Linked DNA regions of Lepisosteus oculatus. The protein of the gene in region 1 interacts with the protein of each later gene in a pairwise test. Links are inferred from orthologs where the notes say so. Each region holds a gene or a part of one and is shown on either strand. Other genes may lie near its edges. The genes, in order: protein-tyrosine kinase 6 and fcho1.

Evidence for each region.
Region 2: the proteins of protein-tyrosine kinase 6 (region 1) and fcho1 interact in binary tests that used the Homo sapiens proteins (3 or more experiments, as listed by UniProt). The two-hybrid records come from large-scale screens. The link is inferred for Lepisosteus oculatus from reciprocal best matches to the Homo sapiens genes PTK6 and FCHO1.

What each region holds. Positions count from the first base shown.
Region 1 is NC_090711.1:5,437,212-5,453,360, forward strand, and holds the start of protein-tyrosine kinase 6, read left to right. Parts: upstream 1-10,364; 5' UTR 10,365-10,994; coding exon 10,995-11,386; intron 11,387-12,260; coding exon 12,261-12,382; intron 12,383-14,093; coding exon 14,094-14,257; intron 14,258-14,799; coding exon 14,800-14,968; intron 14,969-15,782; coding exon 15,783-15,941; intron 15,942-16,082; coding exon 16,083-16,149. Other genes in the region: tyrosine-protein kinase Srms, read left to right, coding at 1,746-1,867, 2,757-2,923, 4,364-4,511, 6,333-6,491, 6,904-7,085, 7,669-7,825, 8,349-8,548. UniProt on the Homo sapiens protein: Non-receptor tyrosine-protein kinase implicated in the regulation of a variety of signaling pathways that control the differentiation and maintenance of normal epithelia, as well as tumor growth.
Region 2 is NC_090724.1:1,723,725-1,740,145, forward strand, and holds the start of fcho1 (f-BAR domain only protein 1), read left to right. Parts: upstream 1-9,895; 5' UTR 9,896-9,910; coding exon 9,911-9,947; intron 9,948-10,050; coding exon 10,051-10,140; intron 10,141-11,991; exon of another isoform or gene 11,992-12,072; coding exon of another isoform or gene 12,073-12,109; intron 12,110-12,346; exon of another isoform or gene 12,347-12,513; intron 12,514-16,421. Other genes in the region: map1sa (microtubule-associated protein 1S), read left to right, coding at 130-3,517, 3,898-4,121, 5,121-5,276. UniProt on the Homo sapiens protein: Functions in an early step of clathrin-mediated endocytosis. Has both a membrane binding/bending activity and the ability to recruit proteins essential to the formation of functional clathrin-coated pits.

The DNA.
Region 1 (16,149 bases):
AAACTAAACATTATTAATCAATTTTATTGGTAAACTAAACATGTACATGATTGCGTAGTCTTATATTGTTTGGGACCTTTAAATGGAAACACTGCAAATTCAGAGTTTCAGCGAAACCTCCTTAATTTCATGGAGCTCTGCCAAATACCTACAGAACAAGAACGTGTCACTGTAATGCTATTCTGATGGCAAAGAGTTCACGTACTTCACTTCACTGTCTGTTTGGATGAAAGCAAAATGGTTTTGGAGAAGACATACACTAGAGCACTTTCCTTGTGGTAAACCTAGAAAAAGACTAGATGCATAATTTCAAGGCACTTTTTAAAGTTTTTACTAATTTAACTGTGAATGAAAATCTTCCCCGTTAACTAAAACAATGTAGATAGCACACAATCAGGCCTGATCTCATGTCAAAACTATATGTGGCAGCATTTTACTTAAGCTGTTAAATGACTGACACTGGCTACACAAACATTCAGAGTTATACTCCCCCTGGCTGCAATGTTAGTAATTAGTTAGATTTAATGTTAGAGTGAAGTTCTTCTTTATTATGTTTACAGAGAAAATGAGGGGAGTTAGTTTTGATATCCTCCTCTCTGAGAGTCTATCCTGTATTAATAGGGATTCCTCCCAGCCAGTCACATTTCAAGAAAGGCTTTGCACTCTAAACTTTAAGTCTTGTGTTTACAGAACACAGCATCATTATTAGCGCTATGTGTAAGTCAATACCAGCAACCGACTCTCAAGTCATCACAACATATTTAGCTGTATTGTCAATTGCAGGCATTTTTTAGGTTGGATGCCAAAGTTCAGTTTTAAGAAATATTTAGTAACTTTTACCTGCTTGAAAGTTGTACTCCTAACAGATCATTCCTTGGCAACTTGTTCATGCATATTTCCACTAGAGATAATTGAAGAGCCACACCGTGTGAATTACACTCTGCCTGTGTGTGAAACAAACCCATTGTACCGATTTTAATAAAGGCTATCTGTTAGCCAAAGGCAATAACAGCATAAGAACATAAAAAAGTACAAGCAAAAGGAGCCCATTTGCATATTCAGCTCATTTGGTTGCTAGTAGTTGGTTGATCTGAAGATCTCACCCAGCTTTTTTCTGGAAAGAAGCCAGGGCGACAGCTTCAACAACATGCCTAGAACGCTTATTCCTGACTCCCACGTGCCTTTGTGTGAAGGAGTGAGTCCTGTTCTCAGTTTTAAATGCAGTTCCCTGCAGATTCCGCTTATGTACTCTGGCTTGTGTGTCGAAGACAAAGATAAGGTTCCTTTTCCCTGTTAGAGTAGGACATTCTGTTGAACTTTTCTGGTTGCTGTTCTTTGGATGGATTCCAGAGTAGCAATGTTATTTTGTAACATCTTGACCAGCCCTATGGACAATGCTCTAGATGAGGTCTTGCTGGGGAACTGTCGAATTTTAACATTAACATGGCTTGAATTAAATTCTACAGTTATAATTACATAGCAACATTCTGTTTGCTTTTTTATTGCTTGGTATAGGAACTGTTGCTCTTCGGACCTTTGTTGAAATACACATATTTTTAGGTGTAATTACCAGATCAGTGTTTCATATTTACTGTTAAAAGAATACTTTTGTTTCCATTTGCTTTTCAGAAATCACCTTGAAATTAGCTGTGTTTATCTCATAGGTTTCCAGAGATTGTGCTGAATGGCCCTATGTGACGAAGTGTAACCCGGCTGTGTGTGTTGGTGGGCGTGTCTTCTTTCAGGTGGTATTATGGGAACATTAGCAGACAGCAGGCAGAGAAGCTGCTTTTGTCATCTCCAAATAAAAGTGGCTCTTTCCTTGTCCGGATCAGCGAGAGTAACAGTGATGAATATTCTATATCGGGTGAGCCTTTTCCTGCCATGTTCTTTTGTAGTACACAGCTACTGTACGCTTGGGGAAAATGCATGGGTGCTTTCAATCTTTCCATTTGGATTAAAATCAGCTTCATATGGGAAAAGAGTACAGTTAATAATTCCAAGATGGGAACCGTTACCATACATCATAGCAGGACTATACAGGTTTACAGGCCCTTTCACAGAGCAGGTTTCAGCAAATTTCAGATAGTTACATTTTTATTTGAGGCATTTGATTTGTCCCAATGTCTAGATATTATTTGGTTTCCGGAAAATAGGATACTACTCCACAAATAATAACAGATTAAAATTGAGACAAAAATGTGATCAGAAGAAAACCCATGGTTATCATCTCTGTTTTGACAAAACTGACTCTACTCACATACAGAACTGTTCATAGCCATAAGATGGCAGAAGAGTACTTGTTACTCTTATACAAACCTGGGACTTAGGTATTCAATACTGGAAATGTCCCATATTTCTGTAAATGCTGCTTTCCTGGGAAATGAATAAATAAGAGAATAAAGAGAAATACATACCTGTCAGGTGAGAATGATTGCATTTAATGATTTTGCTCTCACAAAACAAATAGTGAGACTATACATAAGTTGTTAGACTATATATTACTATACATTACCGGTTGTAAAGTGCTCCACCTGGAAACATGAACTAAGCTCTGTTATGTTACCAGAAAAAACTGATTCATATTGCACAGTTAAACTGAAACCAAATTACCAGACAGCATACAACAGTTTTCACATTCTCAAAGGGCAGCAGTAACACCATGCTATTTCAATCAGAACAGCATGGAGAGGTGGATTGAAATGAAAATAAACTAGAAATGAATTGAACTAACTGCTGTGTCTTCCTTTCTGCAGCTCGGAACGAGGGAAAAGTGCAGCATTTCCGAGTGTATCGCTCACCCTATGGTGCATACTATGTTTCTAACAAAAAGCAGTTTGCTACTCTAGAGGAGCTGATCTGCCACTACCAGGCCAACTGTAAGAGTTTAGGAGTGCCTTTTACGCAAGCTTGTGTGCAACAGGTATGTACATTCACTGATTATTACAGCAAATATATATTTTGAGAGTTTTGCCGCCCATTTTAATTGATACATTCCTAGCATTTACATTTACAATGTAGAGAAAACTGTCATTATCACACAAATGGAAGAATTGATACTGTATGTTGTTAATATCCATGTCTTGTTATGAAGCCTGTAAGTGAAGTTGCTCTTTAAAAGGGATACTTGACTAGGTATTTTTATATTACTCCGGATTTGATACTGTTTATGAATTTCAATGTTTTGAGTTACTAAATTCACATGCAAGCAAATTAAAACTGTTGGCAAGCAAATAACTGTTGAAAATATTTTAATATTGTGAACTGTTATCTTACTTGGACTGGTAGCTCACAATTGTGATAACAATGTGTTAAGTTGTACAACTAGTTATTTTTTAATTTAAATCATAAAGCTATTTACTAAGTGCCTTATCAGTTTTTCCTACTTTATGTATGAATGCATTTAACATAACACCAGTGCTACAGCTAGTTTGTGCTGAAATACTGTAAATAAAAACGAGAGAACTGAATCATTAAAACATTTGCCACTTACTGTAGCTTAGTGTTTTTTCTTCAGTTCCCGCCAGCATTCTGGTTGTGGAGTGAGTAAATTACCTTATAACACTTTGGCCATTGTTTCAATCTCTTTTTCTTCTACTTTGAAAGAAAGGAGCTTTGTGTGAGAATTTCATGTGTGAATCCATTGATGTCCACACCACTGATGATCATTTTAATTTTACACTTTGCGTTTGCTGTAAAGGCACTACACTGATAAACAGATGGCATTTTATATACACAGTGTCATGTATACTGTATTTTTCCTTAAGTCTTTGATGTACTCACTAATTCATTTTATTCTGTGTCTCTGAGACATATCACTTTAATAAACGTCTGCTGTACTTTGTAAACTTTGTGAAGACTGTCCACATACACAAAACAGCAATGCAAATATAATAAGAATGAAAATTGAAAGTAACCAGTACCAGTGTAAAGGGTAGAAAATTGAAGACATGGAAATCTTGCAAATATCTTTTAAACAATCCAACTGCACAATGGCAGAATAGCTAATTTCACAGTTAGTGAACTGTGTGACATGATCAGATCTTTTTAAACCCATTGTGCATGAGTGTGGCTGAACTACAGCAGCATGTCTGTTATCGCTGGTCAATCACAATAATAAAGCCCAGCCAGGCTGTGATGAATATGTTTGGATGGCTGGCACACATTCTTCTTTGTTTTGGGGAAAGAAAAAAAAATTTGAATCTATGTAAGGAAGCTTCAGGGTTCTTATTGTAAGAGAATTCACCTGGAGAGTTTGTATTTGTGCCTCAATCTGATTTATTTCAACAGAAGCTTGGTAATATAAGAACTTCTGTTGATGCTTACTTGCAGTGCTCTGTCTTCGTGTACATTGTTTCTACAGAGGGAGCATTTAAATGCGGACTCCTGGGAAAAACCTCGGGAAGAGTTTGTGCTCCAGAGGAAGCTTGGGGAAGGCCACTTTGGAGAGGTGTGGCAAGGAATCTGGACACCAAAAAAACAAAAGGTGGCTATTAAAATATTAAAACAAGGTGAGCTCTTAATGTGGGAGAAATGTGGAGATGTCTGTCACCCCCACTGTAATTCATATAGTTACAGAACAAAGTCCAGCTTTTTTGCCTTTTTAAAAGGATTAATACATCCATATTGATATAAATGTAAAAAGTACTCACAGCGAAAATAACTTTGTCATTGTTTAACTGTCTGTCTCCGGCCTGGGACAGTTTTAGATACATGGGGTAAGGCTGTCAGTCTAACCAATTCCCTATTTCAGGTGGGTAGCTGCATAGGCTGCAAAGGAACAAGTAATAGGTTTATTCCATGATGAAAAGAGAAGAAAGAAAACTCCACAGCCAAAATGTTTTGTTTTCTTTCTTCTCTTTTCAGCATGGAATAAACCTATTGTTCCAATTCCCTATTTGTTTGTTACCTGACCCACTGAGTCAGACATGAAGATGAACAGCAGAGCACAGTCTAAAAGGTTATGGTAATATCTCAGGTAACTGCACATAATACACGATAGGTTGGCCCTTACTTGATTACTGCAATAAAATCTCTGCTGGAAGGAATTAGTATGTGTTATTACGGGAAAGTACCTCTGTAAACCTTGTTGCTAGGAATAATAGTGCAACATTGACTATGATATCTGATTTTGTGCAATGTGGTTTGAAATCCTTCTCAACAGCAGGTTTTTTCTGCTAAATTACCACTTGGAATTGGGTAACTCATTACACATACATTGATACTTGTCTTAAAGTGTTAATTTATATCTTTCTCATTTTTAAGTTTTTCTTCCTTGTTACGTAACCAACACACTTGCAGAAAGGTTACAGTATATTTTAAAGCTTGTAAAACAACATTTTCTGAACATTGTACTTCTGGTAGTAATCTATAGTAGTTTAATAGTTATTTTAAGGAAAATATGATGTGAGTGTAGTTTTAACGAAGTTTCCCAGATATGTGTGCTATAAGATGCATTTTGTTCCTCTTTTAGTGTTTCACTTAATTATCTCTTCAGTAAAAACTAGTCTATTACCAACTTTCACTGAGTCAGATTTATAATTTATACAGCGCAAGGATTCAGTGTGACAGATGTACAGAGGTATGTTTGGCTCAGTTCAGCGACAACTCTTTTGGTTAATCTCATAAGCTACCTCCCACTCCTTCTTCACCCTTGCAAGAGATTCATGATATACAGAGTAGAAGTCATTTCATGTAGTTCATTTCATTTCTGTTTGTTATTCTGGTATAATAATGTAGTGAAGATTGAGCATAATCTCATCAAAACCAGACACACACTGTACCAAAGTCTCTTAAATGTCAGATGCACAAGATACATCCCTGAAATACTTTTTTATACTGATGTCTCCAAAAAGTCGGGAGACCTTTCTGGAAGGTGGCTTTGTACAGTCCCCAGGAGACAGGTGTGGGTCTGTAATGCGAAACAAGTTTGCCTGTCTTCATTTCATCCAAGAAGACAAAATCCTACAGACTTTAGATAAAGATAAACATAACCTGGGGACACAATTAAAGTCATGATGTTGAGAAAATCCAATGTCTGAAGTATGTTTTTTGGTGAATGTCAAGAGAGAAGCAGTAGTTGTTGGGCACGGTTAGACTTCTCTAGATCCCCTAACCATGGTGATTTCCTGTCATCAAATGGCTAGTGTAGGCAATATTATTTGAAGAATCATACTCAGTATAAAAAATCCAACTAGCTGAGTGCATGTGAATTGAAGCTTGCTAATTTTCCACCCTCTTTGATTTGGTCTTGATAAAGCAATGATTGCATTTCAGGTTGACACGATTAAAATGTACAAAAGTGCACTTTCTTTGTTCTGCATTCTCTGCAGAGGATATGAAACAGGATGAGTTTGTGAAGGAGGTTCAAGCACTGAAGAGCCTCCACCACCCCAAACTGATCCAGCTGGTTGCGATCTGCTCCAAGGGTGAGCCTGTCTACATCATCACTGAGCTCATGACGAGGGGCAACCTGAAGAACTACCTGACCAGTGAGTAAATGAGGGCTCAGAAAATTAGTTCATACAGAAATGGTCAGAAATACACAAAGTTACCTAAGTAAATAGCTGCGGGATTGCGGAAATCTCAGTTGTCAAACTAAAACTAAAAAAAAATTAAAAAAATACCAGCATATGCTGTAATTGTGTGGATGTTTGAAACCTGCTTTCTGCTGTAAGTGTGGAGTTTGAAAATGGTCTTTCTAGAGTATTTTAACAACTGATCTATAAAAAAGATGGAAGCAATTCTATTACATTGTGTTAAAAGTACAGTGAAATTTCCATAATAATACAGTAATGTTCTTGAACTTTTATATCATTCTTTCCAAATAACACATTATAATTGTAATTCTTTGTCCTTTGTATTGCCTGTTTCATACTGGTTGTTTTTTTCCCTTATTCCCAGCACCCGAGGGACACAGACTGTCCTCGGCTCACCTGGTTTACATGGCTAGCCAGGTGGCTGAAGGAATGGCATACCTGGAGGACCGGAACATTGTCCACAGAGACCTTGCAGCACGAAACATTCTTGTGGGGGACAACCTGATGTGCAAAGTTGCTGATTTTGGACTTGCTCGTATCATTAAGGTAACATGAATGCACCCCAAAGATTTCTCTTTCATTTGATTTCATTTTATGTGCTTTGTCACCAAACCCTGACTTTTCAACTAAAGAATTTCTAAAAACTATTGCAGAACTGAGATTTTAATAGAAAGGAGGAAATGTCAGGGATCAACAGTAATATTAAAATATTGGTAAATACCCTTTTCCATTTATTTAAATACACTGCTATACTACAGTATATAGCAACACGGTTTAAATTCTAGTAACTCTGTCAAATTATTAGTAGAAATGCAAAGCTAAGTGCAAGAATAAAGTCAGGATCTGGGAGGGGAAGTTAAAAAAAAATCAAAGCTAGCAAGAATTATCAGAAAAAAACATTTTTAAAATGCAGTGTTTATTTTTTAAAATGATATTGATTTTGTTTTGCAGCATTGATTTTGTTTGTGTATTCTTCACATTTCTCCCACACTGACCCCAGCTATAACTTAAAATATTGTACTAAAGCTGTAACATTGAATCTAAAAATATATATAGTCCTGTGTATCAGAAGCCCTGCTTTATCTCCAGTGAAGCATGTTGACTGTCTGGGCATCTCGGTTTCCTACAGGATAATGTCTACATTTCAAACAAACGTATGCAAATCCCAGTGAGATGGACGGCCCCAGAGGCTGCTGTTCACCAGCAGTTTTCTCCAAAATCAGACGTGTGGTCGTTTGGAATCCTGCTGTATGAGATGATCACACATGGAAAGCTGCCTTACGATGGTGTGTACAAGTCTTCTAGGTCCTCAGAAATCGCACATGAACACAAACATTTTACCATACTCTGATGCTTTCTCCAATACCTAATGTTTCAGATATAGGGTGTGTAGAATCTAAGTGCATTCACACAAGTATTATATAGGTTTAGGTGTACATACTGTTTACAGGATATTGGAAACAGGCAAACAAATTAAATATATAGTCTCTCATGGGTTAATTCAGCAGTTAACAGGGTTTCTTTTCTAAGCACTCCCTGAGATAATGCAGCAAGGGGTGTCCTTCACTTGTGCTCCTTTGCCTGCTGTTTACTCTGTGAAACAGATCTCATTGAGTTAGGTCTGACAGTTAACATGTCTAAAACAGGACCAGTCTTGTGGTGTAACAGGTGCAGTGCTTGTTTGATCTGTGCACTTAGAAGTGCATGGTCTAAATCTGTCAAAAAAATGCTACATTCACGCTAGAGACCTCATCTTTTCTAATGGACTACGAAACCATTCCTTCATGTTGCTTTCCTGTCTTTCCACAGGCATGAGTAACCGGGACGTTTTGGAAGCTCTGGGTAAAGGCTATAGGCTCCCTTGTCCTGCAAGATGCAGCCAGACAATTTACAAAATAATGTTAAGCTGCTGGAATAAAGTGAGCACAAACAGGCCATCTTTCCATGCCTTACGAAGCCAACTTGACACCATCTACACCAAAATGAACATCAAGACTATAGAAGTCTGAAGAGTAGAAGAACTATTGGGGGTAACGTGAAGACCAGGGGACTGGGCTGAAAATTTGCAGATTTATACTTTTTTTATGAAGAGATATGTATAATAATTTTCATACCTAAAAAGGATCTGGTGAGTTTAAATCATAAAAGCTGTCACATGGTCTGCTCAGTAAGGATGAGAAAGAAAACTGTGACCTGGGCCATTATGTCATACCGCTATGGTGTATTCTAATTCAACATTCTCACTAGCCCAGGAACCGGCTCTTCTCAAATATGCAGGAAAATGTAAGGTAGAAGGTTTCCACCTCTTGTTTTTTTTAACACCAGGAATAACCATTATTTCCTTGAGGAAAATATTCAAAATATCTATCAATAGAAACCAGTGGCATGAAACAGAAGGAAACTGTTCTCACTGGACAAACAACACATTCAGTACTTTATTACACATTGGGCTTTGTAGAACACGCCTAACTTAATTTCTGGGTATTTCCTTGAGCTCCAATGTACTTCTTTAGTACTTTATATCATTTATTTTAATTGAACTTGTATATTTTAGCTTTACCAGCTAGTGCAGATAAACATCAGTTTATCCCATGCCTATAGGCTATAAATTCCCAAGGTTTCTGTAATGTGAACAGATTTAACTGTTATTTATGAAATGTAAGTGCAATTGAACTTATTTTTAAAAGGTTACAACATTTAATTTAAATGGAAAGGCCCTTTCCATGTATCTGAAATAATAATTTAAGTATTTTGTGTGACAAATTCAAAACAGCACTGCTACAGAATTTGATGAGGTTGTGATATGGAGCACAAAACAGAGTGGGCATGTGCATGGTGGAATTTCATTGTTACAGGTTTATATCGGCAAAGTTTCTGTGACGTTAATTAACCACACAGGCAATGACGAAGCTTGGGTTAGACTGGTTGAGAAGACAAAATCCAAACTTGTTGGTAAGGTATGGACTGGGAGCAATTATTATAACTTACTCAAGCCCTTCTCCCTCTATTATGGTGAAGGAGTGGAGGGAGGAAAGGGATTCAAGTTATATATACTGTATAGTGTCATACATGTGCGAATTTATGGTATCCATCCATCCATCCATTTTCTAACTGCTTCTCCCAATTCTGGAAAGCAGAGAAGCCAGATTCTGTCCGGGCAAGCAACACGTACAAGGCAGAGAGCTCCCTAGATGGGACAGACACAGACACACACTTGCACTATGGCCAAGTTTCCCTGAAGCCAATTAACCCACCAGTATGTTTTTGGACAGCTGGAGAAAAACAGACCATTCAAAGGAAAGCTATGTGGACTTGAGGAGAACATACAAACTCCATGCAGTGTACACATTAATATAAATGGAAAACAAAATGAATGAAAAGGCCAAATGAGTGTTTTGTATGGTTTGTTCTTTATCTCTCAGGAAATACAGTACTACTTAAAAATGTTAATGCATATTTTTGATTTGAAAAAATAAGGACTTTGTGACTGAGCATGTCTGTATCACTAATTACTTAGCTGCTTGTTTGTATTTTTCCCAGACATGGAGAATAATCTAGTAATTTAGTGCAACACAGGCAGTATTTATATTATGATGAAAATACTTGTGATGATGGTGTATTTTTTAACAGGACTGTGCAAGTACTTTATTACAATATTGTACATTAACAATTAAAGCTTCACCTTTGACTTGACGGGGGGTTTAAAAGCTGTTTTTGTAAAAATGTTCATTAAATTCAATTGTCCATAAAGAAATACAATTTTGGATTACAGTTTATTTTAAAAAAAAAACGCGCGCTATTCTATGAACAGATTCCCCAAATTAGCATTTTGTGTGGGGATGTTGCCGCAGAACGGGTGTCTGTAATGGGGAACTGAACTTGAGTGATGTGTTCAGTATTTTTAATTTGCTGTAGTTAACCCCTTAACCGCTATCGCCAAACAGTAGCTGCAATGAAGTTTGTTTTGTGGACGTGTTTGTTTTGCCTGCAAAATTTCAAATAGCTTTCAGATGGGTGTAGCCGCTGTACTGTATGTTATTTAATCGGATAGTAAATGAGCAAAAGAGCGTCTCTATTGCCGGCACTTTTTTACAAGTACAACAGTCTTTAGCTGGTAGTTATCAAATTGTCAGCGTCTTAAGATTTTACCTGCGTTCTGCTGTTTCCATACGTTATTCGTAGCATTACTGCTCTTGGAATTCTAGACATGCGAACAGGCGTGGTTTTAAAGTGAATGCCGAACGCCGCATAACGAGGAAGCAGAAGTCCAGTAAAAGAAAAGTAGTTTAGTGAAAATACTATCCGCTCCTGTGACGAGAGAGAAATACGCTGCAATGATTATTATTTTGTGGTCGACTTCTTAACTCGCGCTTTCAACTGGAACTAGGCTGAGAACTGGGGAGCTCTCAGAATTTGTTGGGAATTACAGACCGCAGTTTTCTCGAGGACTCTCCTATGGGTGAAACAGTTGGGGGTGATAAATGCCCCTGCCTGCGCAGCCTGCTGGACAGGTGTTATGGCAAGCGTCACGCAAGCGAAGTCCAACCTGACGAGACGGAGAACGGCGAAGCGCTGCGGCAGCCGCCGAGTACACCCCGACTCCTGCCACCGCCGGTACCCGCGTCCAAGGGAGAAACTCCGGACGGATACATGTACACGGCTCTCTGGCCGTTTCACGCTAGAGCTGAAGAGGAATTGTCGTTTGAAATGGGTGACCGGTTTAAGATACTGAGTCGTACAGGTGAATGGTGGAATGCAGCGAAAGTGACTCCCAATGGGCAAATTGTGGGCAAGGGATTTGTGCCCTATAATTACCTCGCTAGAGGGGAGACTGCAGAAGCGCAGCCGTAAGTACTAGGACAAATTCATTTCTGGACGCTTCTGAATAGGGGCCACATGCTTTGTAATTAGTTACTGTAAATAGTTTTTAGCGCATAATACATTCTCTGTTCAGATTCTCTATTAGTACACGTTGAGTTTTCGAAATCCCACTTTTTTTATTAAGCGATTGATTCAAAGACAGGTGTCTAATGATAGGTTCAGTACAGGCAAACAGTATTTAACAGTAATAACAAAGAATGGCGTTGGGATTCGTTGTAGATTTATGTGCATTTCTATATCAAGGTATGAATGGACAACAATAATTTCTTTTTTTAAGGTTTAATATTGCTATATATTGCTATAGTGAGTTAATAATGGTCAGAATGCCATAATGATTAGTAAATCAAATCTCGAATGCAACCGGGTTTTGAGGATTAGTGATAAAACCAGCAGGAAGGTGTGAGTGGTATTTCGCTAAACTGAATGACCTAATAAAATTATTCTGCTTTAATAACTTGCTACTTCCTTTTCCACGTGAACTTTAAAACTGCTTCAGCTTATGAAAAGGTAAATAAAAAAAACGCATTCGCTTCCATGAATAAAGGTTGCCTCACCTTAGAGCTTCACTAGGAACGCGTAAGTTCTTAGTTCTTAGACGCACAATTGAATTTTCCATCTATTTATTATACGCAGTTGATACAATTATCATCACAGATTTAAAAAAAATGACAAAATGTTAATCCCATTCTTCTTTTCAATACTATAACTAACAAAATGTTTTAAGATACTTTGAGGGCGTTTTTCTTTTCAATGCTGTTGTTCAATGCTAAACTTCCGATCTTTCTGAACCCAATGTGTCTTTCGGAGTATCACAAATCACTTTGAAAACCATGATTTCAGATGGTACTTTGGGAAGATGAACCGGTTAGAGGCTGTGAACCTCCTCCTCTCACCTGAAAATGGCAGAGGAACATTCCTGGTGCGTCTCAGCGAGAGAGAGCATGTGGACTATGTCCTGTCTGGTGGGTGCTACTCATCTAGCAAAAACACGTGCTGAGCTCATTCATAGCACTTTATATTATCAGTTGACTGTTTGGGGAAAGGGGCCATAACACCAGGACTTGAAAGTGGATGCAGTTTTGTTAGCTATTGGTTTTCAATGGCATGGTATTCAGACATGGAGAAGATTCTGAACATACTGTATTCTCAGACAAATGAAATATTCTTGCATTCCTATGCACTTCAGTTATCTTTACCATGATGTAATTGGGGTAAAATTGCATTCTTATGGGGACTAAATATTAATTGAAGCAAAGGGAAGGGGATTCAATTTTTCAAAGGCACTTTAGGAGCACAGAGATATGTGTAGATTGCAGGGAGACTGGTATTAAACACCATTTTTAAGTGCTTCTGAAGATTCATGTTTGCTTTGCTAAGCTGAAGCACTTGCTTAAGAAATCCTCAGCTGGAAATCATTTATCTGTAGTTGCTAGTGAACATTCCTTGTAATAAATGATTTTGTTTGGACTGATTTTAATGTTTTTTTGCACTGCCTGTCAGTTTGCTCAGATAAGACAGGTTAGTGACACGTATCAGTAATATCAGTAATAGCAGTCTTGATTTTGTAGAACATACATTACTGTAGTTGTGGTACAAAAGCTGAAATCCTTTAAAAGTTGCTTCTTGCCCACACTTATGTGCAATTAACTTTAGATTTCAATCATTTTAAAAGTGATGACATTCTTGAACACCTCAGCTTAATTCATTCTTTAACACTTAATTCATTTGATATTTCAGTATCTTTACTTCTTTCGAGGGACCATATATTTCTGATGCATTATACTTCTCCTTTCTGGTTTCAGTAATATTTTTAAATAATTCAAAGGCTGAGGCAGGTGTGACACTGACTATCAGACAGGAAGTGTAATTAACAGAGCAATGCCAACCTGACACCTCATTGTGCACATGCAATTCTCTTTTGTTGCATATAATCATGACAAAGTTTAGTCAACCACCCCCAATTTGCATGTGTAGACATACTGCAGTTCAATATGTAACCTTGTGTCTGCCATTAATTTCATGTTTTACATAATGAAATCTGCTTAGGCCTTTGATTACATACAAACATTTAACCACTTGCAATTGCAAATTACAAGTTTGCAGTTTCTTTATAGTGACTTTATAGAAAATCCACAAGCAAGATATTTCTATCTGAGCCACACACACTGATTCCTCAGGCCAGAGCTTATTCTGTTTTTTTAAGCACAAATCAATCAATTTGCATGTTAAATATTCCTGTGGTTAATACGTTATTTCCCAAAACTATTGGTAAACATACAGTATATCATTAATGTTAAACATGTGAAATGGATGAAAAGGTTTATTTTGAATGTTTGTATAACATACCTCCTATCCTGCACTTTTTAAAGGAGGATGTGGGCATGTTTAAAATACAGGATTCCTTCTAAGGAAAACACTATGTTGCAATTCAGGCATAGTCTTGTTTTCAAAATAAAAGTTAACAGGAAGGAAATTATTACCACATTTGGGACACTTCCTCAATTTTTTTTATAGAATATGTACAGAAATTATCTGAAATTGGAACTTTCAATTGACATTAGGTGTTATCTCCCAAGATTAATTGGAAGCTACTGTATGTGGTTCACTGTGATGAATAGGATTTCTAGTTTGGGTTTAGGATTTATAATCTTCAATTTGTAATGTTCTCCACAGTTAAATCTGACAACAAAGTGAAACACTTCAAAATCTTGCAAAATGCAGAAGGGCTGTACTGTTTAAATGAGAGAAACAGCTTCACCACCCTGATGGGTCTCATTGACTACTACAAGACTCACTCCTTTTCCATCATAGAGAAACTGACAGAAGGATGCAGGAGAGTAAGTGCTGTTAGTCATGAAAACTGTGTGAGACAAGGAACTGTTTTTTTTATGCAAAATATAATTTGCGTGTAGCACAACAGTAGTGGTCATTTTATTTTGTGAAACTAGACATCAGTCTAATTGTTGTTCTGGAGATTTTGCACTGCTTTCTTGGGTACTTTCCAAATATGTGCATGCACAGGCTTTATATGAATCTCATCTTAACGTGGTGTGTACCATCATGAAGCCTGGATCTATGGAGCTCGATTAGAATTCTCAGTGTCACTTTGACAATGATAGCTTTAGTCTTTAAGGATAAAATGACCTTCAGGAACTTCTAGGCACTCTATAGGATGTGTTTTTGGTAGGGGCAATTTAGAAAATGCCATCATTTTTAAAATAATTTAATTTTGCTTATCCTTTACACGAATATATCTATTTCTCTGCAGTTTTTGTGGACTTTAACATTATTAAATACATAATCAACAGCTTTTTGAGTGACTTTGAGTTACCCCATCCAGACTGTAGAGCCTGTAACGTAATGCTCATTCTCCCAACAGAAAGAACCTAAACCACAGGATTTATCACACTCCACTGTAGACGAATGGGAGCTTCCTAAAGAAGAGTTTACACTCGGCAAATTGCTGGGAACTGGATATTTTGCGGATGTCTATGAAGGACTCTGGAAAAATCAAGTTAGAGTCGCAATAAAAGTCTTAAAAAATAAAGGTGAGGATTAACAGGCTTATGCATAGTGTATGATTCATGCCTCATGCGTTCATTGGGACAGGGGTTATTAAAGCAACAGTGCTACTAGAGATGTGTGGGTTTGAGATGTCCTCACAGTCACCATCACCTCAATCTCACCTGTATGATACAAGGGTTGAAGCAGCAAGAAAAAGTGAATCACAATTGCTGATTCCAAATTGGGTGGCTCTTACAAAAATAATTGCTGATTGCCATTTTTAAAAGTAAAACGAAACACCAGGAGCTTTGAGAGCACAAAATGGCCATTGTTTGAGTACTTAATTTACTTTATAAACCTGGAGATTGGAGAATGCCCGTTGAAGTAATCAACATAATTGAGAACGTATAGGACACGCTGAAGAACCTGAGTAGTACTTACTTTGGTGTAAGGAAAAGGCTTCAATCAATCCATTATTCGTTTATAAAGCACGTGTTATTAAAATACGTCCCAGTGCACCATCATTCCAAAACACTGCGGCAGACATGATTCTTAAAGTTGTCATACCAAGCCTTTTTGTTTAGGTTTACACAACAAAAGTATTTTGTGGTATGCAGTCTATCTGGTTTAACAGTGTCTCCCACTGGGATTCAGCATGATTCTTTAAAACATATTTTCAAGGTGTATGTTTTGAGCTATATGTATTCAATTACATTGATCCTTTTTTGTCTCCGAATCTACCATTAAACTTTTTAAGTTGTTTGTACATCTCAATCAAACTGAATGCTAGCTTTCCTGCATTATCAAGTCTTTTCTACCAGAGCCCTATTGATACAGTCTTATTTTCCTCTGCTACAGAGAATGTGAATTACAGAGAGTTCCAGTTAGAGACGCAGATACTAAAGAAGCTTCGCCATAAACATCTTATCTCTCTTCTTGCAATTTGCACAACTGAAGACTCCTACTACATTGTCACCGAACTGATGGAAAAGGGGAACTTACTGAATTTTCTCAGAGGTAAGCACTTTTATTGTGTGGGTTTATGACTTTCATTTTCCTTTAAACCTTGTAAAATTGCTTTTTACGTTAGTTATTCACAGTACTAATACGGCATAAAGACAGTCTCTGAAATTGTTCCTTTTTTTCTGTCATCTGTAGGTACAGAAGGCAGGCGGTTGGATATGTCTTCACTCTTAGACATGGCCTGTCAGGTTGCTGATGGGAT
Region 2 (16,421 bases), on another chromosome or scaffold:
TCTGGGATATTGTAGAATCTAATTAATGGTGAAACTCAGCTTTACTCAGCCCATAATACGGTAATTTTAGATGTCATTCTTGAGGTTGGTGTTTGAAGTCTAAGTGTTTTGTGCGCTTTCCTCCTCTAGATTGGTGAACTGTTGAGCTCTGCAGACCCAACGCACAAAGCCAGTCTGACCCTAGCCGGCCCAAACTCGGGCGAGTGGAAGAACTCTGTTCTGGAGAAGCATAATCTTCAGGACTTCATTGAGATCAAGACGAACCCCCCCACCATCTTGCCCGAGATGGAAGGTCTGCAGGAGTTCACCGAGTATCTCTCGGAGTCTCTGGAGCCCCGCTCTCCCTTCGAACTGCTGGAGCCGCCCGGCACCGTTGGCTTCCTCAAGCTCTCCAGGCCCTGCTGCTACATTTTCCCTGGAGGGCGGGGAGACTCTGCCTTCTTCGCCGTCAACGGATTCAATGTTTTGGTCAACGGGGGCTCCGATTCACGTGCCTGCTTCTGGAAGCTGGTCCGGCACCTCGACCGAATCGATTCGGTCCTGTTGACCCACATCGGGGTCGACAACCTCCCTGGCATCAACAGCCTGCTGCAGAGGAAGGCGGCTGAGCTGGAAGACGACCAGTCAGCGGGGTCTCAAAGCAACGAAGACTGGCTCAAGAACCTCATCTCCCCGGAGCTGGGAGTGGTGTTCCTCAATGCCCCAGAGAGACTAAAAACCCTCCCCAGCGATCCGAAAGTGCTGAGGAGCTGCGATCAAGTGGCACTTACCTTGCAGTACCTGGAGAGGTTGTCTGTTCAGCCAGAGCCCCTGTGCCGCACCAATGGGCCTGTTATTGAGCCAGTCATCCTCTTCCAGAAGATGGGGGTTGGTCGCCTGGAGTTGTATGTCCTCAACCCAGTGAAAGGCAGCAAGGATCTTGAAACCTTGATGCAGAACTGGCCAGGCAATGGCTCCCCCAAAGGCTCAGAGATCAGTCTTCAGTGCCTAGTTTCCATTTGTGCGTTACTGGTCTGGCACCCAGCTAACCCCCTGGAGAAAATTATCCGTGTGTTGTTCCCTGGCTGCACACCCCAGGGGAAAATCTTGGAAGGCCTTGAGAAGCTGAAGCACCTGGATTTTCTCAAGCACCCAGTGGTGAGTGTGAAAGACTTGGAATCCTCCAAGTCGGACAAGCAGCCTAAAAGGGCAGAGAGCAGGGAGAGCCTGAAGTCGGTCCCAAAAGACTCCAGACCCAGCAGTGGTACACTGAAGGAAAAATTAGGAAGAGGTGACAAAAAACCTGACACTAAGGCCAAGAGCAAAGTTTCTGGAGATGCATTGAAAGAGGGACCCTGTCCAAAGGACGTGGAAGAGAAATCAAAAGCTAAGGAGGAGGAAAAACAGAAGGTTGATGTGAAGCCAAAGACGTCAAAAGAGAAGCCGGCCACCAAGAAGGAGCCGGCCAAAGATGAGAAGAAGGAGGTGAAGAAGAAAGAAGAGAAACTCCCCGCGAAGAAAGAGGAGAATGGAGAGAAAAAGAAGGAAATGGTGAAAAGGGACACTGCGGCCGCAAAACCAAAGAAGGATGTCAAGCCAGAGCCCAAGAAAGAAGTCAAAAAGGAGGTCAAAGCAGAGGAGAGGAAGTTGACCAAGCAACCCGTGAAAGAGGTCAAGAGAGCTCCAGGAGCTGCCGCCTCGGCTGTGGCAGAATCGAAGAAACCGGCTGCTAAAGTTGGGCCTCCAAAGAAAGACGGGGCCCCTTTGAAGAAGGAAGCAACGTCTTCGGCCAAAGGCGCAAAGCTCAAGACGCCAAGAAAGGACACGGACAGCGAAAAGCTCTCTGTTGCTTGTGAGGGGGACGCTGAGCGCTCCAAAATGTCCACTCCGGAGGACATGACGGCAGAGTTCGAGCAGCTGAGAGAAGAGAGCGAAAGGCAGCAGCGGGGAGGCGGTGCAAAGACGGGCAAAGAGGAGTCAACGGACGAGGGCATCGCAACAGCCGAGAGCGAAGTGGAACAGTCGCCTCTCGACAACGTAGCGGCTGAAGGCGAGCCGAGTGGAAATGGAGCTGTGGAGGAAGTTCTGGAAAGCCCAGAGAAGTTCCGCTCTCTGGATGCTATTCCCAACCCCGGTAAGGTGATAGGCCCTCCATCACCCCTGGCTAGAACCCCCAAGAGTGACCGCAGTGTGAACTTTGACCTCACTCCCACCGAGTTCAGGCTCCTGGATGGAGCCCTGAGAGAGGGCCTGCTGAGGAACAGTCAGGAGGACCCATGTGGGAGTTCAGATGAGAAGACTCTGGAGATTGTTTCTCCTCCTGGGTCAGGACCAGCCAGTGCAGGTCATACCCCTTTCCACCAGTCTCCTGCAGAGGATGGTCTGGGATCTGGAGAAGACAGCAGTCAAGGAGGGAAGATGTCCAATTTAGCCTTTGAGGATGGGAGGCCTCTGGGGTCGTGTAGAAATTCAGAGTCCGGCTGCCCTAAAGCTGGCCTGGAAAATTCCTCCTCTTCCCAGGATAAACAGTCAAGCTTCCTTTCTCTGAGCCCATTTAAGGACGTGATGCCTGATGTCTCTCCCACCATCACCACTCCATCCCTTCCAGCAGAAGTTGGTTCCCCCCATTCCACAGAAGTGGATGAGTCCCTGTCCGTTTCCTTTGAACAAGTACTACCCCCAGTCAGTGAGTCTCCCAAAGAAGAGACTGGTGAACGGCCATACACAAATGGTTACTTTGTGGACCCAGAGTCCAAAGTTGGAATGACCCTTCCCTTGCGGACATCTCACAATATCCGGCCTCCAGGTGACGGTTCGGAGGGACGCTTGCCTGGACCACATGCCCTCCTCCCAGAGATACCTCCTCATGATGTGGACCTGTGCCTCGTCTCCCCTTGCGAGTTCAGGCACCCCAAAGCTCTGGAACAGCTCTCGCCTTCCGTCGTCAACCCCAGTCCCCGAGACCTGTCGGACGACAGTGATCTCTCCCAGGAGCTTGCCAAGCCCCTGTCGCAGCGTCGGGCCGGCAACCGCAGATCCCCTCAGGGGCAGGAGACGCCCCCCACCTCTGCCAGCGAGTCCCTCCCCACCCAGTCGGATTCCGACGTTCCCCCGGGAACAGAGGACTGCCCTTCCATCACCGCAGACGGCGGCCTGGACTCGGATGACGATTCTGGAAGCTTCGCGCCACACGAGCGGCCGGCCTCCCGCGCGTCCCATCGGGGCCTTGCGGCCCGGGATCCGCCCCCCGCCCCCCTGAAGGACCTGCCCCCCCTGCCGCCCCAGCCCGGCACCTGCATGGCGGACCCCGAAGCCGAGCAGCAGACGAAGAACGGCAAGGGCGCGGCGAAGGCCAGGAAGCAGGTGGGCACGCCCAGGCTGAGCTCCGCCAACGCGGCGGCGCAGAACACCAAAGCTAAAGGTGCCCAGGGCACTTCCTCCTCCTCCTCCGCCAGGGCGAGCTCCAGCTTGGACGCCCGGCCACCCTCCAGGAACACCGCGGGCGTCTCCAAGACCACTGCAAGACCCTCCACTGCAGGTGAGCGCCAGATTCATTCTTCGGTACGACAGGACAAATACAAGACGAAACGGGGGAAGTAGTAGAGTGATGTGTTCTTCTGACACATGAAGTCGAAACGACGGAGAACCTGCTTTAAATCTCAAGTATACGGCCGTTTCTGATGGGGGGGCCATCCGGGTTCTTCTTCCAGTTTTTTTTTTTCCCCCCCGGTTCTGGAGCTGTAACTGATCTGCACGAGTGAAACATTCAGGCTACGAGTGGTCTGAATTTCAGCAAAACGATGGGTGTTCTGAATTTCCTCTTTTTTCCCCCCCGCATTCTGTGATCTTCCGATCGGCAGCAGACCATCTCTGTCGCGAGCCGTCATGCCTGCTCGTTCTGTCTCCCTCTCCTCCCAGGCCCTGTGGGCGGCAGGCCCCCCCCGGCGGGCACGCCCGTGTTCCTGGACCTGGCGTACCTCCCCTCGGGCCGCGCCGCCGCCACGGTGGACGTGGAGTTCTTCAAACGCCTGCGCTCGTCCTGCTACATCATCAGCGGGGACGAGCCGCTCAAGGAGGTGGTCATGCGGCCCATCCTGGACGCGCTGCTGGAGGGCAAGGCGTTGTGGTCGGGCAGCGTGCAGGTCAGTGGTACCGCCGCAGGTCGGAAGATGGGCTTGAAACGTCCTCTTAGCTTAGCTGGTAGTTACTTTCAGTCAGTCTTTCTTCACGAATTCATCCCAGAGTTCCCCAGGGCCTTGCAGTTAGTGAAGTACCAGTTGACAACCTGTTCTCCAGACAGATGCCATGAGCAAGTGGGCAGAATTTCTAGACGTTGAGCCGCTGTGCTCATGTGCTGTCAGGCTAGCTGCTGATGTCACAGTGTGGTATAGGAACCGCTGAGCTCATGTGGCAGAAAAGGAGAATCTTGCTGTCCTGATCTACAGTGGTTCCTTTTAGCAAAGATGTTAAAAATGATGCAGTTCTTGTTTACTTTAATTCTGTATATACTGAGCAATCACACTTGTGCATTTGTTTTTAGCACCAAGAATATATGCATATTATAAATATTTTGGATACAGTTTAATCCAAATGGCACCAATATATTGATCGTCTTTTTCGTCCGCGGCTGGTCATGGCATGCTTTACTTCCTGTGGGTTCATCCTAATGTGCTAGCGTTCCAGCAGGACAAGCGTGTCCTCGTGCTGCTTGTGACAGCTGGTTTCCTGGGTGGTGGAGGTTTGAAGTAGGGCATCCACAGGGGGACTGTCACCAGGTGTGAACCCCAATCGAGCATCGGTGGGATGATCCGGGGCGATGTGACGTCCCGGGTTGAGTCCAGTGAGCAGGCACACGCCAGTCCCGGCTCTTCAAGAGGAATGGGACAGGACACCGCACACATCTGGTATTCCTTCCAGCCTTGGCCACGCACGCTGCTAACCTGTGCGTTTCATTCCTGCCCATCACAAATGGTAACGGGCAGAATGAAATGCGGTGGTGGTGTTTGATGTTCAGTATATACGTCCACAAGGTGGCACGGCTTTAGACAGCACCTGGCAGGAAATCGCCAGCAGGAACAGAAGGCAGCTCTGAACGCCGAAGAGGCGTGAGGATTCTCACTGCCGTCCCCTGTCTCCTCCAGGTGACCCTGATCCCGACCTTTGACTCGGTGGTGATGCACGACTGGTACCAGGAGACCCACGAGAGGCAGCGGGAGCTGGGCATCACGGTGCTGGGCAGCAACAGCACGGTGGCCATGCAGGACGAGACCTTCCCAGCCTGCAAAGTGGAGTTCTGAGGGCAGAGGAGGCTTCCGGCCCCCTCCCCCCCCCGCCTTTCCTCCCCACCCCCCTCCCTCGCGCTTCGCGGCCGCCGGTGCCGCGTGCCTGGTCACGAAACTCCCCATCCCCCCGATCAGGACGGGGATCCCCAGGCAGCTTCGCACCCCAGAGCAGCATGACGGCCGCCGTCCAGCCTGACCAGGCCACGACGGGCTCCCCAGTTCCCCGAAATCCGATCTTCATTTCCACGTTCGCAGCCGCCCTTGACCGTTTCCTGTCGCGTTGCCCATCTCCAGGGGGTTGGAAAGGCGGCTGATTCTGGGGAACGGGGCCGTTCATCACTCCTTTGTTACACTCCTACTCTTTTTTTTCCCCCCCTTGAGGCCGTGGGAATTCATTGCTGCCTTTCAGAACAATCCTCTTTTTGGGGGGGGGGGGGGGACTTATCTTAATTGCGCACTTGCACGGTTTTCACAACGAAACCAAACTGGTCACTAAAAGCATGAGTCTGTAGGGTCTCGGGAATGAATGGATCGTCCTGCGGGGGGCGCACTTTGAGCGGGACTGCAGTGTCAGGACAGGGGCGTAAAGGCGTCTCCTGGTTCGGCCCCCCCTTTCCGCCAAAGCGTTCCCACCTCAGCTGCGTGCTTCCGATTCGGAACGAGTAAACCGCCCGAGAGCAGTAGCAGCTCAGCGGGATCCGGGGCTGGTTTCACCTGCTGGGGGCGAGAGGGAGGTGCCCACCCAGGCTGTGAGCTGAGCGCTGCAGAGAGGAAGGCTCTCCAGCTCGAAGCAGTGAGGCGGGCGGGGCTGTTCTGGGAAGGCCTGGTCTGGGCTGTCTGTGGGAGAAGTAGGTCGTGGAAGGATGAGCAGGAAGTGAAGGGTGTTGGGTTTTGCACCGCGGAGCGGGGGACGGGATTGGGCCGCGGGGGGTCGATCCCGCGGTGCTGGAGGAAGCGTGACGGCCGACGCATCCCCGGTTGGCGAGCGCAGCCGTGTCGCGGCGACGAGCTCCTTTCGGGGGGGCGCGGTTCGCGGAGTTTGGGCCGGTGCCCTCAGGTGGACCCGGAAGGCCATGGCTGTGTTTCTGGCGGGACGCTGGCTGGTTCGGGGCGGTCCGATCGTCAGGTCGGGGGTTCCTGAGGGTTAAAGGGGCTGTGGAACTGCCTGAAACAAAACCGTCGTCGAGCGTGTTTTATAACCACATTTTAGTAGTTGTTCTGTGTCTGTGATCTCTAGGTGCCACACGTATCTCGGAGGGAATGTCATTTAAAGTTGCACACGCAAGACTTTTTTTATAATTAAAAGAGGAAGTAGCAAGAGCGTAATTAGCAAGAGTTGGAAGACGTTTTATAGGACAGGGTTCGCTTCCGATTTTTTTTTTTTATATTTATACATATATTTGAGCCTGGGTTGCGTTAGTGCCTAAATGTGAAATATTTACACAAATGTAACAAAAAAAAAAATCACCACATTTATCATCACCTAGTCCATTTGTCTGTGGTGTTCTGCTGTAGGGTAGCGAGCTCATATTCTGTGAATTATCAGTGCGTTTTAGCCTGTCGTACTCTGCATGCACTGTGTTAGATAGTGTGCAATACGGTGAGGCAGGGGGCTGCTCTCATCCTTCAGGGCTCTTCCTGATCCCATAGCAAAAGGCTTTTTCGGACACTTTTTAGTTTGAGACAATTTCCGCTAAAGGTGAATATGTCAGTCTCAGTCTTTTAACACAGAAAGCGCGATCCTGTGTCATGAAGAGCGAAACAATTCAGTCACTTTTTAAAAAAAAAAAAAACTCTTTTTGGAAACTGTGATCTTCAGAAACATTGCCAGTTAAAAACAATCGGGGCCGTGCGGGATATCGCTGCGGAGTTTAATTAGGCCGAGGTCTCGTTACCGCTGGGATTCCCTCCAGACCATATGAAATGAAAATCTGGCTCTTTTCTGTTAATTTTGTTTTTGGTGGGTTTTGCAGCTGCCTGAAAATGATGTCTGAATATTAAATTATTACAGAAGCTTAAGAAAGAGTCTATTGTGGATATGGACATAATTTCCAGAAGTGTTGTTTTACTGTTTTTTTCTTCCCTGGAGATTATGGCTGAAGATAACGGTGTCAAGGCCTTGAAGTGCATTAAGAGTGGATGAAAGAGTTCATTTTCATTGGGAGAGATCTGTGCTGTGTCTGTGTGCAGGTTGTCAAGGTGACAGCTGTGGCCTAGCCGCTCCCCAGCGATTCTCGAAGCCTGGGGCTGTTTACAGACATGGCAGAAGATCCAAGGATGAGCCCTTCACACAAGGGCTCTCTTTTTAATTTAATTTTGTTTAAGTACTCGACATTGTAATGTAAAGAGGGAAAACAAATTCCATCGCCCGCTTTATTTATTTGTCTGTTTGCTAATTTATTTTTTTTAAATCGTTTCCTTTGGCATTGTTCTGGGAACCTCACAATCCTGATTGTTTCAGCTGTATTACAGTTACTCTGCTGAGTCCTCTGGATTTCAAGACCGTGAAGGGCGTCTCGTGCTTTTCTGTGAGGAATTCCATCGTGGGGAGCGCCTCGGAGAAAGATTCTCATGTGTGCACGTCTGTTGTCTGGTACCATAGAGACAGCATGGTTTCAAAAATCAGTATCTTTTATTCCTGAACCATTGTTGATTTTTTTTGTTCGGTAGAATATCTACCTTGATTTTTTAATAGAGCTGGCTGTATAACACAAGTGACATTCGATAAGCTTGTATTAACATGGTTCTGTTACTCAAAAACACCTGATCAAACGCGGCAGTGATCCCTGTTTTAAAACGACTGTGGGGGAAAAAATCTGTCATTGCTTATGTGCCACCTAGTGGTCACGTTGTGAAATTGCAACTTATTGTTCTGTACCCCCTTGGAAGTCTTGTTCCGGGAGCCGAGCTGCAATTGCTTACCTGAAAATCCCCTTACTGTCATGTGAGACTGAAACTAAAATCTGTCAAACGCCATTTTCTGTGGTGTAGTTCAAGCTATCGTTTAAACCCGAAACTGGCTTAGGCTTTTCTGCAGACGTTTCCTTTCCTGAGGCGTGGTATTTTTTGTTAAAAAAGGAAACAAATGTCATTTGGTTGCTTACTGCAGAGTATTTTTGACATCTGTGTCTGGTACTTAGACTGAATGTCTTACTCTGCTGCACTGTACGCTGATTACCATATAAGGCAACTCAAGTCCGCATCTTAAGCTAACAGTATGACCCAGCATGCACCACTCTCACTGCTGGCTGTTTTTGTATGTGAGGCTTTTGGCCTTGAACACTTTGTCTAAGACGCTGTCTGCAGCAGCTGTGGGAAGAGCTGACTTGAACCTGACATGTTTTTAAATGTACCTGTGACCCCCCCCCCCGAATTTCTGAAGGAAAATCAAATCCAGTTTTTGTGCGATCTCTCCGTGCAGAAACCACAGTAGGTCTTTACCTTTTGTCCTGCATCATGGCAGAAGGGTGAGGGATTTTCTTACTGAATGTCCAGGCTTTCAGAATCTCACTCGGCACCAAAAGGGAGTGAAGTCATAGCAGAGAGATGAAGTAAGTTACTATGGTCAGTAAACGCCCCCATTTGGGGGGGTGATGATAGAGGACAGGTATTGTTGAGGTTGTCTAAGCAACCACATGGTTGCAGTAGAATAAACACTGAGGAGTAAGAGGTTGCCCCTGAACCCCTGAAGATTTAGGAGAAAAACTATTACAAAAGATATTTTGATGCAATGAACCAGAAACAAACTTTGGAAATTGCAAGTTGCTGTTTTTTCCTCCCTTACACTAGTCACCTTTGGTTCAGTCTTTCAGGGCAGTGTTACTGTTCTTCACATCCAGCTGTTTGCAGCTGTCTGGCTGCTGGAGCACACGTAGTGGATCAGCAGCAGGACCATGTTCACGGGCGATCTCACCAGGTTCTACAGCAGGCTACTGTCTGTCGTGTGTGAAAGTGGGGGAGCTGTGTGTACTCTGAAATGAAGGCTGATGACTTGATTCAGTATTGAACACTAATCCTTTTTGTTTTATTTCCAATAAATATGCTTCTTTTATAAATCACTTAAAGGTCTCGTTTTGTTTTTTCACTATTCGGTTCAGGTAACTGAGTTCCAGTGCCCACAGGTGCAATGGGGCAGCAGGCTGACCTTCAAAAAAACAGTCAGAATCTGGATCATCATTGGCATGGTTTTACCTCTGCCCATTGCTGGCCGGGTTCACTTTATCCAATACGGGGACACCTGGGGTTAGAAAATGGATGGATGGAGTAGTTGGTATGAAGGCACCAACAGGATGGGTATTTTTTCCCCAATACAAATTGCTGTATTATTGTGTTGTAGAGTTAAAAAAACATTTGATAGAGGGGTAAAATGAAACCCCATTCAGGTTACTATCCGTAAAGATCACTACAAAATTAATGAAACGTTTAGTTTTAGAAAGGGACGAGTCTACCGTGTCAGGAGTCGTGCAGGAGGAGGGCGGGACAGTGACTCCCGTCTTCCCCCGGGCCCCGCCCCCGCAGCGAGGGAGCCTCCGATTGGCTGGGCGGCTCCGGATGTTGGGAGGCAGCGGGATGGTTGCTGTGGCAACAGCTTGCAGGTGCGGGGAGCCCAGGTGCGCCGCCCCCCCCCCGTCGGAGACGACACCTTACCCATGAAGGATTTAGATCAGACAAAAACGACGTGTTTCGGTTTGTAAAAAAACAAAACAAGTCCCCTTTCAACGTGAACTCGAAAAAGGAAGCGTTCAGGATGGGTTTATTTACAGTCTGCGTGCCTGTCTGTCTTGTTCAGTCGATCCGGTTCGAGCCCTGCTTGGGGAGTTCCCTGGAAGAGGTGAGGGGCACCAACAGGACACATCGGGAAGTCACGCTTTTCGGACAGGTGAGCCCCCTAGCAGACTCGACTTCAAACCACTACACGCGTCCTCGGCGTGCCGGTGAGCAGGGTACGAGCCAAATCCAGCTTCTCCCGACCGGCCACACAGCGTGTGGATACTTTAAGGAACCGTCTTCCTTGGTTTAAGCAGGTATGCCAGCCGGGGACGATTCACACCGTTCAGCGGAACGGGAGCCCTAGACCTAGACCTACCCCAAGCTGCTACCCTCAAATGCAGGTGAAGGCGAAGTCCATACCGGAGCTCATCTCAGCGCCAGGCGCAAGTTTTTTTTCGCCCTGTGGGGCGGAGCGGCGGCTCTGTGGCTCAGGACCTGAGCCTGTGGCTGGAAAGTTGCCGGTTTGAATCCTCCTCCTCCGTTGGGCCCCTGAGCAAGGCCCTTAACCCCAGCTGCTCCAGGGGCGCTGTACAATGGCTGACCCTGCGCTCTGACCCCCAGCTTCTCTGTCTGTCTCATGGAGAGCGAGCTGGGGTCTGCAAAAAGACAAATTCCTAATGCAAGGAATTGTATAGGGCCAAGAAGGTGATCTTATCTTATCCTGGGCTCTGGGTACTGGATCCGTGATACTGGTACGGATAGGTTGTGTTTGATGGTCGGCTGTCTTGATCCTTGATGCGTTTTAAAAAGGGCAGATCAATGATAGTAACATCAGCACCGTTAGAATAGCCTTCTTCATCATCGACCTGGGAGGAAGAGATCGTGACTGACCTGACCGTATTTGTAAGGGTCTCCCGCCCTCTAGTGGACAGAGTTCGGTAATGCGCCCATCAGCACCTGCCTGGCGTGACCTTGAAAATGATTTGCGTACTCTCAAGTTTTTCATTTATGTAGATTGTGTTCACAGTGTTTTGCATTTTTGTTCAGAAACTGCAATAGTTCAGGTTTGAAGTTCAGTTGTGTGCTTACGAATTTAAAACATTAATAGCTGCATAAATATTTATTAAGAAATCAATAAACCAATTGAATCATACATTGTGAATGATTTTGCAGTGGCCTTCAAAAAGTGTATATTTTATCCAAAGGAGTCTCTGAATAAAACATTTGCCGTAATAAAACCGACCCAACGATTAAAATACATCTCCCGCTTACTTCGTAGCACATAATGATAAAGTTTTTTTTGTTTTTCAGTCTTCGGAATTAAGCACAGAAGGTCGTTTCGAACAGGGGAAAATGTTAATTTGTCTTTTAAAATTAGGCCACATTGCTGGATGAAAGCTATACTTACTAGTAACATTTACACTAATTCCCAGCTTTCTTGTCACAGCGATGAATTAAAACGCAACTTGGAATATTTGTACACATTTCGGGAAACAAAATCCGGCGAATTCTCGTTATAATCTGATCTTCTTTGAATATAATAAAACCGAAAAACTGTCAATAAAATAGAGTCCCGTCCATCCATTTCCTAACCGCTTTACCGAATTCGGGCTCACCCTGGACGGGACTGCTGTCCAATCCACACACACACACACACAAGGGCCAGTTTTCCCAGGAGCCAAGTAACCTACCAGCATGCTTTGGGCTGTGGGAGGAAACCCACGCTCCACGCAGACAGCACCCCCGGAGCTGAGGCGGCGGTGCAGCACAGGACAATTGAAAGCTCCCGCCTCCCGCGATTCCAGCACAATGACGGCTGTTCTGGCCAATAGCGGCCGCGCTCCAAGGCTCCCCCACAGGTGGGCGGGAGCCAGGTCCGGCAGCCCAGCATGGGATTGGTCGGGAGGCTGGGCTTCGGGCCACGCCCCCCGGTGGTTACCATGCCTACGGCGCATCTCACCCAAGGATGGGGACGGACGGAGCCCGTGGCCAATGGGAGCGGCGGTGGGCGGGGCCTGCGGGCGGCGAGAGCACTGTGGGTTGGAAGTGTAACAAGACAGGACTTTCCACGCGCTAGCGGAGGGAGGACAGGTGATCGGGGATGGAGGATGAGCCGTTGCGTCTGAAATCATCTGCAGGTAATCGGGGGGGAAAAAAATCCCGAAAACCGCTCGGATTTGATAGAAAAGTGCGAGGAACTACGTCTTGCTCGGCAAAAAAAAAAACCCATTACCCATTAACGCCCTGTTCGGTTGTGCGCATTTTATTTGGTTTAACCGCGCGTCTTTCTTTCAAAGAAAACCTCGAGAGGGAGGTTTTCCGCACGCGGGCGGTTCGAGGCGGCGAGGGGGCGCGAGCCGTGGAGACTCGGGGTGGCTCGAGACGCGGCTCCGTCAACTTCCTCCGGCTCGCGGGGGACCCGCGCGCTGTTGCCCTGACAGTGGCGCGAGCCGGTCGCGGTTTTTCGTAAATGAATAGTCCGCTGGGATCGGATCAGCGTCAATCAAGTGCGTTTTCAGGGGCTGTAACTGCTCTGTTTCAGGTACGAGTGTCCCCGCTAGGGTTGTGTCCGTGCGTTGTGGACCTGCCGTCGTTTTTCTATTTCTTAATATTGATGTTAGCCCGTTAGTAAGAATCTCCACTGTCAATTTCTAACCGACTGTCTGTGGTTGTGTCGCGGTGTCTGTTCGCAGTATCGCAGGAGTGGTACACACATGAGACGGTACACTTGTCTTCGCCAAGAGGCGCCGACTGACGGTAAAACCGGGAGCCGAGTGTCTGGTCCGCTCCGGCCGGGTCACTGGTCAGCGGGAGAGCTGACGGGTCACACCGCTGCCCTCGGCGGTGGGGAAAAACAGTACACTTTCAGAGCTTACTTGCTTCAATGGCCCCGTCTAATTTGGGGAGGTTATGTCGTCGAAAATAAAAGCCTCTCATTCTGAGGTAGCCAGGGGTAGACTGTCAAAGAGTTTGGTCTTTATTCTGAAACAGGAGGTAGCCCTGGTTTTATATACAGTATGCATTCGTGAACAGACACATGCTGGTACTTCTTCGGTTTTGTGTTTCTTTTATCTTAATCTTTCAACAGGGGGTGGACTCTGGTCTAAACATTGTGAATGTAAGAGGTTTTAAAGGGAGTGGCAGGAGGCACGGCGATTAGGACCGCTGCCTCACAGCACTGTGGCCCCGGTGCTGTCTGTGTGGAGTTTGTATGTTCTGCCTGCGGTTGTGTGGATCTCCTCCAGGCGCTCTGGTTTCCTCCCACAGCCCCAAAACACACTGGCTTCTGGGGAGACTGTCGGTGCATGTCTGTGTCTGCACAGGGTTAGAGTGCTGTTCACTTTTTCCCAGAAAGTATAGGTGGCTGTTGTGGAAAAATTGTTGACCTCCCCCTTTTATCGTTGTTTTTTTTTTTGGGGCTTGATTTGGCCCAGGAAAACCGGGAGAATTGGATGCTGTGTCTTTCTGTGCCTGTGAAATCTGTGGCTTTCTTCTGTGACGCTTTTACAGTTGTCCTCCCACTCGGCTGACGAGCCGGTGCCATTCACAACTGATGCACTCACCCAACAGACGTGTTTCTTTTTTTCTGGTTGGGGAAAAGCCAGCAGTGCACAGCGAAAGTGAGTAAGCGATGTGAGACTATGAGCGCTGTGTGTGTGTTGGACTGATCCTTCCACCATGCATCCTTGATGTCAGATGAGTCATAGGCGCTCGGCTCCCTTGGTCTGGGCCATGTGACTTCCTGATCCAGGCTGTGGGTCCTTTGAGGGTTCGTTGGTGCTCCCCTGGACGGCGAGATGAAACCGCTCAATCTCACTGCCGCCACCCCCTCACTCAGCAGGGGGCTGTTGAGGCACCTGCAGCCGCTTCTGAGTTATCATCACACGTCATCGATCGATTAGAGCTACAGAGCTAAGATGCATGTATTTTTTTTTTGGGGGGGAGGAGTTGCTCCTCACTTTGAACCCACGAGTAAATTTCAGTCTTGGGAAGAACGTTCCGGAAAAAGAAGTTGAAAATTGTTCCGGTACAAATTATGCAGGCAAGAATGTATTGAAAGTTACAGGGTCATTCAGTGCATCGGGGTGCTTCGTTATCTAGAGGGCATTTAGAAGTTCGCCACCCAGCACATGAACTGCACAAGAATTGCCTCCAGCCTTCATTTTTAAATTCACGGCCACGTTTCCAGGAGTGCTCCCTGGTTCGTGTTTCTCCGCGCATCCTACAGAAGTGTCCCGGGTCGGAATGTGCTCGGTGTCTTTGAGAATCAGGTCCCCTCTTCTCTGTTCGGTACTGAAGAAGTTCAGTCCCGTCAGCCTGTCGGTGCAGGACAGTCCTTTAAAACTTCAGAGTCTATCTGGTTGCTTTTCTCTGGACTGATTTTCTGTAACCTTGCAAGATATGGCTGCTCTGGGATCGGCCCGGAGAAGGGCAGCTGGGTGCGGGAGCTCTGGGGAGAGCCATCTCTTAGTTAGTGGAGGTGTTCACTGAGGTGTGCCTTGGCTCTGTTTGTGCGTTCGCTCCCTGCTGTGGCTTACAGCAGAGATGTGTGAGGAGGGGCATCGTGTAAACGTTCCCCGGTGAGGGAGCTCCTCCGATCTGTGAGCTCCGCCGCCAGTGCAAGCAGGCGTCTCCCCCGAGGGGGTTACAGGACCCCCCCATCTAGAGAATAAAACTAACCATGAGTTGGAGGTGATTGGAATGAGGGGTGAAATAGCCGGCCTCTCCGCCACCGTCGCAGGTTGACGTCGTCCTGTTTTTCCGGAGCAGCCGGGCAATTGTTAATCCATGAACACGAGCCCGCTGGGCGTGCAGAGCCGGAGGGAGCAGGGCTGCCGGCAGGCTGGAGGGGGACCTGAGCCCCCGGTCTCTGCCAGATGGAGGCAGGGTGCAGGTTTGCGCGGGGGGGGGGGGGGGAGGCCTTACCCCCCCCCCCCTCGCGTGCGGGCCGCGGCCGCGCTTCAGATCGGTACGCCTGGATGCACGTGCTGATACAGTTACCGTGTGACGGCGGCGCCGCCCCTCCTGCGTGTCCAGGCTCGAGTGTGTGGAGATCTTAGATGTCGCGTACGCTGTGACTCCTTCGCATTCCAGGAAAAAAAAAAAACCCAGCTTGGTGGGGCTTTTGGGTCAGCGAGTTACTGGAAACCAGACAAGCTGTGTGCACAATGTAGTCTTCTGTTTGGGACGGCTGCGCTGGGAGAGGGCAAAAACTATATAAAGCAGGAATTCCCAGAACGCTGAATGCTAATTGCAAGGATCGGTATCATGTAATACTACACGGAAAGATCTTCTTGCTCCGGAAGGAGGGATGAAATCAGTCGCCAGAATACTCAACTCCATAAGCTTTGGATGTTTCTAAAGAGATGTGTGATTATAAATTCAGAAAGTGCTGTTAAGTAGATGGGCTGCACAGTGGTGTAGTGGTCCGCATTGCTGCCTTGCTGCGCTGGGGCCCTGGGTTCAATTCTGGGTTGCTGTCTGTGAGGAGTTTGTATGTTCTCCCCGTGTTTCTGCGGGCTTCCTCTGGGTGCTCCGGTTTCCTCCTGCTGTCCAAAGACGTGGTGGAGGGTCAGCTGGCTTCTGGGAAGACTGGCCCTGGTGTGAGTGTGTGTGACGTCAGCGAGAGACGAGCCACACCTCCAAGTCAGAGTGAACTCCCCCGCAGAGCACTGTGCGGGACTTGCACCATGTGGTGTGATGCGCGACTCTCAAGGTGAAGCACGTTGGAGAAGCAGGTCTGGGGCGCTCATTCTGGCCCAGGATGGTGTGGGAGTGGCTGCTGGAGTGTGTGTTTTCATCATCAATTAATCGTCTAGTGTGATCAACTGATTTCTGTCTAGTCAAAAAGGTAAGCAAGTTGCATGTTGTCATGGGGGCTGAAGTTGTACCTTGACGTGGGGGTTTGCAGTCATCATCTTGCACTGGACTGTTAGAGCTCCGCTGGAGAGAAATGTAGAAGAGACTGTTCCCCCAAGACCAGCACGGGGAACCACTGGTGTAAAGAAGCACCACCTATTCTCAGTCTTAAAATCATTTCCTGTTCATTTCCACTTGCACGTCGTGTCCTCGGGCCTGTTGAGCTGAAGTGAGTAGGCAGCAGCGTCGTGCAGGCTGCAAGCTGCAGTGCGTACCACAGTAACTCGGCTGAAGCCCTGCTGCCTGCGTGTGAGAGGGTGAGCAGAGAACCGCAGCGTACAAGGGCACAGGCAGGTAATTAAATGGTCTTCACACCTCACCTCTTCCAAGCAGCTGAAAAGCTGGGGTGTCTCAGTGAGACCCCCAGCCCACAGGGCACATGCATTTACAAGCATGTCATGCCAGCACATCTGCGTGCACATCAGCATTACTGGGGGGAAAACAAGGGTCAAGTTATCTCTGCATTTTTTTACCAGTGAAAACTTCTTGCTTGCCGTAAGTCTGAACAGTTTGTAATTCCAGCACTGAAAG